Saccharomyces cerevisiae S288C: one gene and its partners. The gene in region 2 interacts genetically with the main gene of each other region. Each region holds a gene or a part of one and is shown on either strand. Other genes may lie near its edges. The genes, in order: SUC2, YAT1 and YNR061C.

Region 1 (3,759 bases), on a different chromosome or scaffold from region 2:
TTTGGAGGTATTCTTTGAAATCATAAAGTTTTACATTCGTCACTCGTTAGCTAAAGCCCTTTAGAATGGCTTTTGAAAAAAATAAAAAAGACAATAAGTTTTATAACCTCTATTTTACTTCCCTTACTTGGAACTTGTCAATGTAGAACAAATTATCGACACCAGTGGTCATGTTCACAGATCCTAGAGCGTTACCGGTGGTCATGAAGTAGGTATTTGTAGAAACCACATCTCCATCGTTGAAGTACAATTCCAAGATGTTTTGATCCAGTAGGCCGTACACTTTATAGTAACTTAGGTCGTTCTCAGACTTGAATGGTTGGTTGTTGACAGACATTCTGTTTGTGAAATATGGGTTCTCCTTGACAAACTTGACCTTAGAGTTACCACGGTCCAAAAAGAAGGAAGAAGCACTGACTTCAAAACCCATTCTCAAATATTCTTCAGGATCTTCTAAACCCTTGAACCAAAGTGATAAGTCGGCAAAGACGGATTTGGATATGGTTTGTGTGGTGTTAACAGCGTAAACCAACTCAAACTCTAGGGTACCAGTCGAGTTGCTCAAATCGACATTGTAAGAATTGGCCTTAGTTAGAGTTGTGTTAGTAGCAAAACGAGACCAGGGACCAGCATTACTAATGTTCAATATTGGTTCGGCTTTCAAATTGATCAATTCAGTCTCTGGATTAGCTTGATATTCAGTGTTCAAAGAAAACTTGCGGACCAAAGACATGGATGATCTCCATGGGTTAGTTGGGACAAAGGCACTGTACTCCCAGTTTGAAGCCCAGGCAATACCTAATGCTGAACCGTAGGTTGGGTCAGTGTTGAAGAAAGTTTGCAAGGCATAGTAGTCCTTACCAAAATCTACCACTCTAGATTGATTGTCAAACGCTTCAAAATGAGTACCATTGAAGGATCCAACAAAATATTGGTTGAAGGAACCGCCAGCAGGTGCACCTGGGTTGATAGAAATAAACATGACCCAATAAGATTTGGAAGGATCTTGCTCAGTTGGGACTTCAATCAAACCTGGACATTCGTATTGGTAGCCTAAGAAACCTTCATTGGCAAATGCAGATTCTAGCTTCCAGGACTTCAAGTCATCAGAGGAGTAAATTTCAATTTTGTAGTCTTGTGATTTGGCAGCCGTCATAATCCATTTTTGAGAAGGTTCATACCAGAACACCTTTGGATCTCTGAATTGAGTGGAGTTGGCAGCTAAAACAGGGTTCTTTTGGTATTCAGTAAAAGTGTAACCACCATCAAGAGAATAGCTAATGTATTGCTCTTCACTTTCAGGAGTGTTATAAGTCCAAATCGCAACGCATCTTTGTCTTGGATCAATAGTATCATTGAAAAACCCACTCGTGTTGTTGTAATCAACCACCATGGAGCCAGAGAAAGCACCTGAATCGTTACGCTTGGGAGCGATAGCAATGGGTTGATCTTCCCAATTAGTCAAATCATCGGAAGTAGCATGGCCCCAAAACAATGGCGTACCCCATACGGTGTCATTTGGGTTGTATTGAAAGTACAGATGCCATTTGGCATCTTTTTCATCGTACCACAACCCATTTGGGTCATTCATCCAGCCCTTGTTGGGTGTGAAGTGGACCAAAGGTCTATCGCTAGTTTCGTTTGTCATTGATGCAGATATTTTGGCTGCAAAACCAGCCAAAAGGAAAAGGAAAGCTTGCAAAAGCATCATATACGTTAGTGAAAAGAAAAGCTTTTTGTTTTGCTTGTTTCTCTGAGAGAAAAAAAAAAGTAAGATATATGGTAAAAAAAAAGCACAAGAACAAGAGAATGTTTTGAAGAATAATACATATCTATTTATATGTTTCTTTTCAGGAGGAAGGATTATAGGATCGAAATCCAAAAAAAAAAAGTCGTCAAATCTTTCTTCCAAATGGTTTACTATAGAGCCCTTAGGCAACATTTTTGTCAAACAAAGTCGTTTAAGCATTCCTCGAAAAGAAACGTCTCTATGATGGTAATAGGCAAACATCGGGCGTACCTTAAAAGTCTTAGACATCACATAAAGGGATTTATAATCACATTCCTCGTCAGTTTTTCCAGAAACCTCCATGGAAAAACCCTGGACGTGGGGTCGATTAACGCTACGCGTATTTCTTCGCCCCCGGATAATTTCCTAAACTGGGTTTTTTCTTTTTATTCCTGTTCAGAGTAATAAAAATGCGGGGAATAATGGAAGCCCTCATAATGGATCGAGTTCAACAAAGGCACGCCTTTGGTAGAAGAATACTGTGGGCCTTTCTAACGTAGCATACCGACTGGTAATTTGCTCACAAACTATTCTAAATGACGTACTTTTTTGAGCTTTGCTGGGGGAGCGAGAACTACGCTAGGACAACAACTCCCATACGGTAAATGTCTTAGTATGTCGTGCTTGTACAAACGAAACATGATAAAATGGATACCTTCGACAGCTCACCGTGCCCCTGTCCTTTGTTCATTGGGAAACCTCCTGCCGTAATTCTACATACTATACTCGATACCCGAGATTGTGACGTGTGGATGCTAAGCCCCTATAACCTCAAACTTTTTAGCTTGGAAAGGCACTTAACTCAATTATAGGTTGTTGCGAATTCTGAATTTTTACAGCTACTTCTGTAGGGAATTCAGACCTCCGTACGGTATCTCCCTGTTTACTACAGGGGAAAACTTAGTTTTTTTTTTACTATAGTATATGCAAGGCCCTGAAGCTCCATGATATTTCGTAGATTATTCGGCTTCCTATTCAAGGCAATGTCTAGCCGTTTAATGTGCGACGGCATTAGCAAAGCTTCTTCAGTTAATAACTTTTCTACGTTCTTTAGCGCATTAATAGACTGATCGTCTATTACCATCGTGGAAATGAGGTATAGCACCTAAGAATACAGCGAAGGAGGTCTAACTGCTTCCCAGAAGTCACAGGAAAATAAACTTTTTTTTTTTATTTTCCGCTTTTTTCATAAACTTCTTTCACACTTTCCGCTTTTCCATACTTGGTAAATGCACATAATGCTATTGTAATATACAACCATGATTTCACTTCCCCTGGCGCAACAGTATGTTGTTAGCTATGATACAAAAATTTTTTAAGGCCATTTGAAAGCATCAATTTCTCAGAACACACTTCATCTACTGCAAAAGAAGACTTTCGAAGAAAAGTACAAATTGCGACGAACTACTTTCATAGTAACAAAATGAACAGTGACATTGAAAAGCAGAGAATGTTGAACATAGGCTAATTTTACGTTCTCACAGCCTGGCTAGCACCTAGAAACGACGCATGCTGCCATGTTAGTAGTCAAACAAAATTGAAGTGAGGCTCAAAATAGTTTGAATGAACACAACAAAACATTGGATAAGCTGTCATGCTACATTAGCAATACAAAAACCCGCACCCCGTAGTCACGTTCGCCTTCGCAGCTTTTTAAAAATGGCAAAGAGTCTGACTTATGCTCTGTTGACATTTAAGAGATACAATGAATCGATCCAACAATTATTAGCCATCAGTACTTCTCTTTTGTGAGGTAGGGCGACAAGAAAACGCACAAACTAGAGAAGATATTTATGCATTTTTCGGTATATCAGATAAAAGTTGGTAGTGCTCGAGCTTTTCTTTCTATACCAATAAATGCTGCAAAATATTATAATCTAATTAGTACTGAAGTAACTCTAGCAAAGCACAGGTGACAAAATTTGTGCTGGTGATTGTTGGTACTGCTATCGCCAGAATAGTCGAGATGT
Region 2 (3,759 bases):
GTACCATTGGTTCCAGAGGCAGTAGAGCGCATACAAGTGACGGTCCTGGCCGAGCCCCTGGGAGCATTCCCTTGTGATTTGCGAGTGCGCCGTACAGGCGTCGTGCAAGAGCTGAATTTTGGTGGCGTCCGAGGCATCCTGGTCCAGTAGTGACTTGACAAAGAGCTTCGATTGGCCCGTGACGGAGCGGATGGCCTCTGTGCGGCCGTTTTGGAACGCCTTGGTCATGGCAGGCTCGTACACGGTCTCGAAGCGACCGTACAACGCGAAGTATGCGACCTGGAACACCTGCTGCACGAAGGCGTCTGGCGAGCACTTGAACACTGTCTTGATATGGGACGCGCCGTAGTTGGAGAAGTCAAGATTAACAAACTCGTATTGCGAGATCAAGTCCGAGATGCGCGTCTCGGCAAAGTGCAGCGACGATTGCAGGAAATTGTCAGTGCGCCATTCCAGTTTACGAGGGATGGTGATCAAGTTGGCGGAGTGAGCCGCCGAGGCCAACGACGACGACGATGGTTTTCCATCGTCGTCGCTAAAGATGTCGACGACGTTCTTGGTGACACCGCGTGCGAAGCTCAGGATCGAGTCTGTGTAGATGTCTGTGGCGAGCCGCAGCACAGTGTGGCCGTCCACACCGGTGTGTTCGAAGTTGATGCCCGCCTTACCGTTCTTGGTCACGATCAGTTGTAACTTGTCGTACCAGCGGTTGAGACAGGTGCCTGTCTGCACGTTCAATGGCGGCTGGTGTTGGTGCGGGTCGAGATTGATGGTAGAAGTCCCGCACAGCATCGAACGCGTGAGCTCGTCCTGCTGATCGGCGGCAAACGCCACGTCGTCGAGACAGACCACGAACAGCGCGGAGTCGATCAGCTTGAGATTGCGCCAGTTGGTGCAGTCGTCCGCATGGAACAGATAGTCCCTGATGTTGGACCACACCCGGCGCGACTCTGTGGTGAACACGCCAAAGGGCGCGGATCCGCTTCCGGCGGATTCCGCGTCCATGATGATCGAGTAGAGGTTCCACTCCAGTTGTTCTGGGGTGGCGAAGATGGGCTCGTTGCGTGTGTCCAGCACGTCGAACCAGTAGAACTGGCCACGATACATCGCCACCACGTGATGCGACGTGGCGTCTGTTTGCAAGTGGCAAGAGGGCTCGCCGGGACCCGGAGGGATTCTACTGGAGCCGAATAGCCGCTCATACTGGTCCATCGACAGCGGCGTTTTGCCGCGCACAGTGTCTGTGCGGAGTGTGCCGTGGCGAATCTGGCGGATGAACTTGAGAATAGAGGTGGTGAGTCGTGCGGCACGACGAACCTGCACCGTGTGTGCGCCATAGGGGCCCTGTGCCGCCGTCTCTGGTGTGTCTTTGATGGTTGGGTCGTCCTGCAGTTGGAAGTACGGGTTGACGTTGAGAACGACAGTTGCATCATATAGCAAGTACGCGTCATACCAGAACTGCTCGATGTATGAGGACTCTGGGTTGCTTTCCGCGAGCCGTGCGTCGTATTCTAGCAGCCGCTCGTGCAGCGTGTTCAATGCGTCCAGGTTTTCTGCGGAGAGCACAGTGCGGCGCGTACGGCGGTTTTGGCGCTCGTCCTGCAGGGGTTCCACGCGTGCCAGGTAGCGGTTGAGCGTGTCCTGCAGTGGCGGGATGGGTAGTCTCTTTAAGTTTGGCATTGTATACGGAAAGGAGGGGTGGGCGGGTGTGGTTATTGTCGTGTGGTTATTGTCGTGGGTGTGCTTCTATGTTATGTGTGTCTTGTATATATATGCGCGTTCCAGTTGACGCTGATACAGCCCGCCGGGCGGACGGAAAGTCCGCGGGGATGACCGCGGACCGCCGGGCCGATGACTCTAGTGCTGATGCTGATGCTGATGTTGTGCTATATGCTTTTTTTTAGCCGCTGATGACATATAGAGTCCAGATGGGGAGTCCTTTCAATCATGCTTTTCCTTGCCCCTTTACTTTGGACTATGCACTCATGATTGCCATTGTGACTGGAGAGATCGTGACACTGCTGATGGTTTTGTCATTCCGCACGTCCTACGTTTAGAAAGTAACGATGCCAATCTTCATCACGGTAAAAGTAATACGGGGTGGGGTGTTACTGATGAGAATTGGGGGAATTTTGAGATAATTGTTGGGATTCCATTTTTAATAAGGCAATAATATTAGGTACGTAGATATACTAGAAGTTCTTCTCGAGGATTTAGGAATCCATAAAAGGGAATCTGCAATTCTACACAATTCTATAAATATTATTATCATCGTTTTATATGTTGATATTCATTGATCCTATTACATTATCAATCCTTGTATTTCAGCTTCCGTTGAAAACGATGACTATTTCTCATCATTTGCGTCATCTTCTAACACCGTATATGATAATATACTAGTAACGTAAACACTAGTTAGTAGATGATAGTTGATTTTTATTCCAACAGTTACGTAAACCGTTATCAAATAAATACGCTCAGATTCAATTCTGATTAATTTTCATTGGGGCTGATGCTTTCGCTGCAAGTTGTCATAGTATTATTTATTTATTAATACCTTAGATTTTCTTGACAATTAACCAATTTTTAATCATTAAACTTAATAATATTTAATGCTACTGTACTTTTTATTATTATTTATTATTAATTTATTTATTCGTTCATCTTGTATGTAATCGTCCTCCGTTCTTTTCCCTTTACCGCTGGCTTGCGCGCGATGATTTCCACTAAAAGCTTGCTTGGAAATCTCGATCACCGACATACGCCCTGAGAATGCTTATAGGAGCTATTGAGGCGAAAGAAGTGGAGGGAAAGTAATATCCCGAGAACGAAAACGCAAGGTTTATTGTCATGAAAATGCAAATGCACCGTTGACAAAACCAACCACACGATTATCACGACTACTACCATAATAGGTAGGCAATGAACCACTTTGTTCAGCAAATGGGTCCAACACGAATCGACTTTTCGAGGCTTCCTTCGGCCGTTTTCCGGCCAGTTAGTGCTGATTATATATCATACTCTAGTTTATGTTCGCTTTACGTATGGTAGTGTCTCTAAGCTATTCCGTCTTTTTAAGAAGCGCATCGATATTGGGATGCCGCCTTCGCCAGTAATTTTCCTGAGCTTGTCGTTCGATCTCCGCTGCCTTGAGCAAAAAGTTTTGATAATTCAGTCTGGAACTAGGAGAAGCTGACTCGATGGCATCTTCAGGCTTAGCGGTGACCGGAGAATTGCCAATTGACGTGGCTGTTTGCTTCTTGGGGGTTACTCCCTCAACAAGGCGTAGAAAATAACGGTAGCAATCCTCATCGCTGTAAAAGTAATACGGAGTATGCCATTGCCCATGATTAAACAAATATTGGTTCATGTTGTATGTGATGATCCTCCATTCTTTCCCTTCTACCGCCGGTTTACGTGTGATGACATCCACTAAAAGCTCGGTCCTAAAATTTCGACGACTGACTAGCTTTGGATTACCATCACTTAATATTATTAACAAACCTACAAGAGAAGTAAAAGCAAATATTGCAGAATTGAAAACACAAGCTTCGTTGTCATTAAAAAATATAATTAATAAAACCAAAACCCCTATTACCAGGGACAAAATCATGACTGGTGTATAGCGAGCGATTTCATAGATCCAATAACTCAAGTACGAACGGAATATGTCCTTAGGAAGAGCCACATTTTTCTCAATTAAATGTGCACTAGGTTCGTTAAGTGTATCTAACTTGACGTCGGTACTTTCTGGAGGGG
Region 3 (3,319 bases), on a different chromosome or scaffold from region 2:
CTAGTATGCTAACAATTTAGAGAACGGAGAAACCAATCCGGACAAATTCTTGTTCAGAATTCAAGCCATTTCTGCAGCAGTTCAAGTTTTTGTTTCATTCATTATTGGGGATATTGCTGCTTTTCTTGGGTCCATTAAATGGGTAATAGTGGGGCTTTACTTTTTATCCTTTGTGGGTAATTTTTTGTATTCATGCGGCGGTGCAGTGTCGCTAAACACCCTTCTCGGTGGGCGTATTATATGTGGTGCAGCATCTGCTTCTGGTGCTATAGTGTTCAGTTACATCATGTCAATTGCACAAGATAGGGGTATCGTTTTCAAGCTTCTATCAATTTATCGAGCAGCGGCTGGTATCTTCATGGCGTTGGCACAATTAATTGTCATATTTTTTGGATATTGCGATTTTAAAATTAAAGGGTATCGCATTGCCTCTTACAATGCACCGACATTTGCCTCCAGTTTCATAATTCTTGCAGTATGCCTTTTATTAGTTGTCGTTCTGGAAAATCCTGAGGTTAAAGTTACAAATTCGGAAAATAGCCTTTTCAGTGCTCTGAAACAATTTTTTAGAGTCGAAAGAAAAAAACTCATCTCCTGCTTGATTTTACTATGGAGCATGTTCCTATCGTCATTTATTATGAGCGAAGTAGTTTATTTTATGCCACTATTCCTGACGCTCCACGTTAACTGGGACACCAAGTTTCAAGGCATAGCGTTTATGGTCGCATCTATACTTGGTGTGACTGGAAGCTATTTCGCTCCAAAGTTAATAAACGTCGGGTGCTCCTGCGGCAGAGCCAAAGATGGCGGATTAGAAGAGTCAGATACAACTGGAAGTGAGACCGTTGAGGTAAAGAAAAAAGATTCGCTGTACAGCGGTCAAGTTTTTCTGTCCATCTTTGCATTGTTTGTTTCATTGCTGGGACAAGCTTTTATGATTGGAGCATCCGAAGCCTTGAAGCATAAATCAATGCCACCCACAAATTCTGGTATATTTTTTTCAGCTGGGATGTCGATTACATTGTTAGGGTACAACTTTTTGGCTTCGAGCATTCCAGCCCTTTTTTCCATGTACATCGACCCCAAACTCAAGGTCCAGTTGATGCCTTCAATTGGAGCAATCTCTGGGATTGGTAAACTGGTGGCACCGATTGTATTAGCAGCTCTTTATGGCACAAGATTGGGGCTTTCAATTGCGGTTGGATTTGGTATGATTTTGGTAGCTGTTTCAATTCCACCGCTTATTTGGCTCAGGAAAAAAAGGTGTTAGATTTCCTTAGACATATACTGGTCCAAATCCAGCTATATATCGGGTGCCATTGACGTATATTTTTTCGAAGAACTTGGACGACAAAAAGTCAGCCTCTTTTTTATGGCGTTCTATCAACAAATTTTACATTTGGAAATGATAGTGTATTATCTTTACCATTTCTATAGTGATATATCCGGACTAATCTTTTAGCGGCCATAAATAAATATTACTAATATTTAAAGTTTCCTTCTGATTTATTCTTCTATTATATTCAAACCAGTTGTGGAAAAGTGTGTGCCTCTTTTATATGGCACTTTATACTGAATGATGTAATCAGTTTGCATGGACGCCAAAGCTTGTATTTTAACCAAGGTTTTTTAGAGTTTGGCCGCTTCAAAGTTAAAGACGTTAGGCAATTCGCATAACCTTTTCTTTAATCTCAATATATTATTCTAATCTTATTCTGCAAATTGTCATTGGAATTCGCTTCCGATTTGCTGTACTGCTTGCTGAATAATATCTGCTCTTGCATTGGCAGGTGAGAAATGAATACTATCTTTTAAGGATGTTGGTTTATAATCTCTCGGAGACTAAAAACCAACTTCTCAAAATGATTTATGTATTTGCCCAAAGTTAAAATTGCGTGTTTCCAATTACGTATGCGATATGTAAAAAAATTAAAAAAGTGAATGAATAAGCGACTTTTCGAGTTGCTATTTTTTTCTTGGTTCAACAGAAGTAAAATATAATCAACCATAAATAGGAGAATACAGGCGGTGCTTACAGCTTGATATTTTGTTACCAAGTCAAGATCTATAATAATAACTCAATACATATATGTTAAAGTTAACAACAACATCCGTTACTTTCCACGTACTAAGATATTTCCAACTTGGCTTATCTGTAACTAACTTGTTGTTAGCTAGTTTTGCCATAATCACAAACTATAAAGTGGATCGAATCCTTAGATTGAGCTTAGCTGTTTCAATCATATCTTCAGTTTATTTTGGGATTGTGAGATTTTTGCCTGTTCTGTTAATATTCGTGATGGAAATTGTTCAGACCGTCCTGTGGTTTACCGCTTTCGTAACTCTAGCTTCAAAATTTGGTTCTATGTCCTGCTCAAGTATGCCACGGGGTATAAACTTTGATTATTCAGGTTCTTGTAAGATTGCTAAAATAGATATTTTACCAGAAGCCGTTTTATTCATACTATTTCTCGCTACCACATATGCTTCTTATATCACAGTCCTATCTCAAGCTAAGGAAAATGGGTCAAGCACAAGATCTGTTTTGAAGGCTTGTGTGAAGGCATTACGTGATACCGTGGACCGCTTGGAGACCAGTCTGGAAGAGAGTGAGCCTCTTTTAGATCTTGAAGTTCAGGAAGATGCGAGGACTGAAACCGAAAGCATTGAGGATTCAACTGATAGTGAGGATAATGCTAACATCGAACAAGAGAAAGTGATTGATGGTTCAATTGAGCATTCTTCATGATGAACCAAATGTCTTGTAGTGCATGCTGTTTCTGACTTTGCTTAATGGATTTTTTTAGTTCGACGATGTTCCGTATATTTTAGAGGCACACACTTTCACTTTTCCTATGTTGAGTAATGAAGGCATTTGAAGTTACGGAACCTTATAGGTGTCAGCACGCTGTCATTCCAGATAATTTTGTGTCTCCCTTACCTCCACATATGAATTTGGAATACCAATAATTACCTCTTAAAAGGTTTCAGAAGACGTTTACTATTTAATTCTTAGCTACACATCATATAGTTATTAATTCAATATATTACTTTTGGTACTGCATTCTAAAACACTAAAGTATAACCTCCGAACATTATATAGGTGTTTATTGAGTTATTTTTTGAAGAAATAGTCCACTAGAAATTGCTTGGGATGCGGGATTCCTTTTTCTCTTGGTCCTTACATTATACACCAATTTTATCTTTATAAGAAAATACAGGTAGTTAAATTAAGTACATGAACGCTGAAGATCGATTGGTTCATATTCTATCGGCAATTGGTGTGTTATACAATTCAGAGTTACTAAATATGAAGCTT

What was found.
Region 1: mutations in YAT1 (region 2) and SUC2 together harm fitness more than expected from each alone (negative genetic interaction), as found in Saccharomyces cerevisiae (one large-scale study listed by BioGRID).
Region 3: mutations in YAT1 (region 2) and YNR061C together harm fitness more than expected from each alone (negative genetic interaction), as found in Saccharomyces cerevisiae (one large-scale study listed by BioGRID).

What each region holds. Positions count from the first base shown.
Region 1 is NC_001141.2:35,334-39,092, reverse strand, and holds SUC2 (beta-fructofuranosidase SUC2), read right to left. Parts: upstream 1,709-3,759; coding exon 110-1,708; downstream 1-109. Other genes in the region: YIL163C (uncharacterized protein), read left to right, coding at 1,841-2,194.
Region 2 is NC_001133.9:188,114-191,872, reverse strand, and holds the start of YAT1 (carnitine O-acetyltransferase YAT1), read right to left. Parts: upstream 1,681-3,759; coding exon 1-1,680. Other genes in the region: DUP240 family protein MST28, read right to left, coding at 3,062-3,759. UniProt on the Saccharomyces cerevisiae protein: Involved in the transfer of acetyl-CoA into mitochondria. May also be involved in the metabolism of acetate and of ethanol.
Region 3 is NC_001146.8:742,311-745,629, reverse strand, and holds YNR061C (uncharacterized protein), read left to right. Parts: upstream 1-2,089; coding exon 2,090-2,749; downstream 2,750-3,319. Other genes in the region: PUL3 (Pul3p), read left to right, coding at 287-1,270.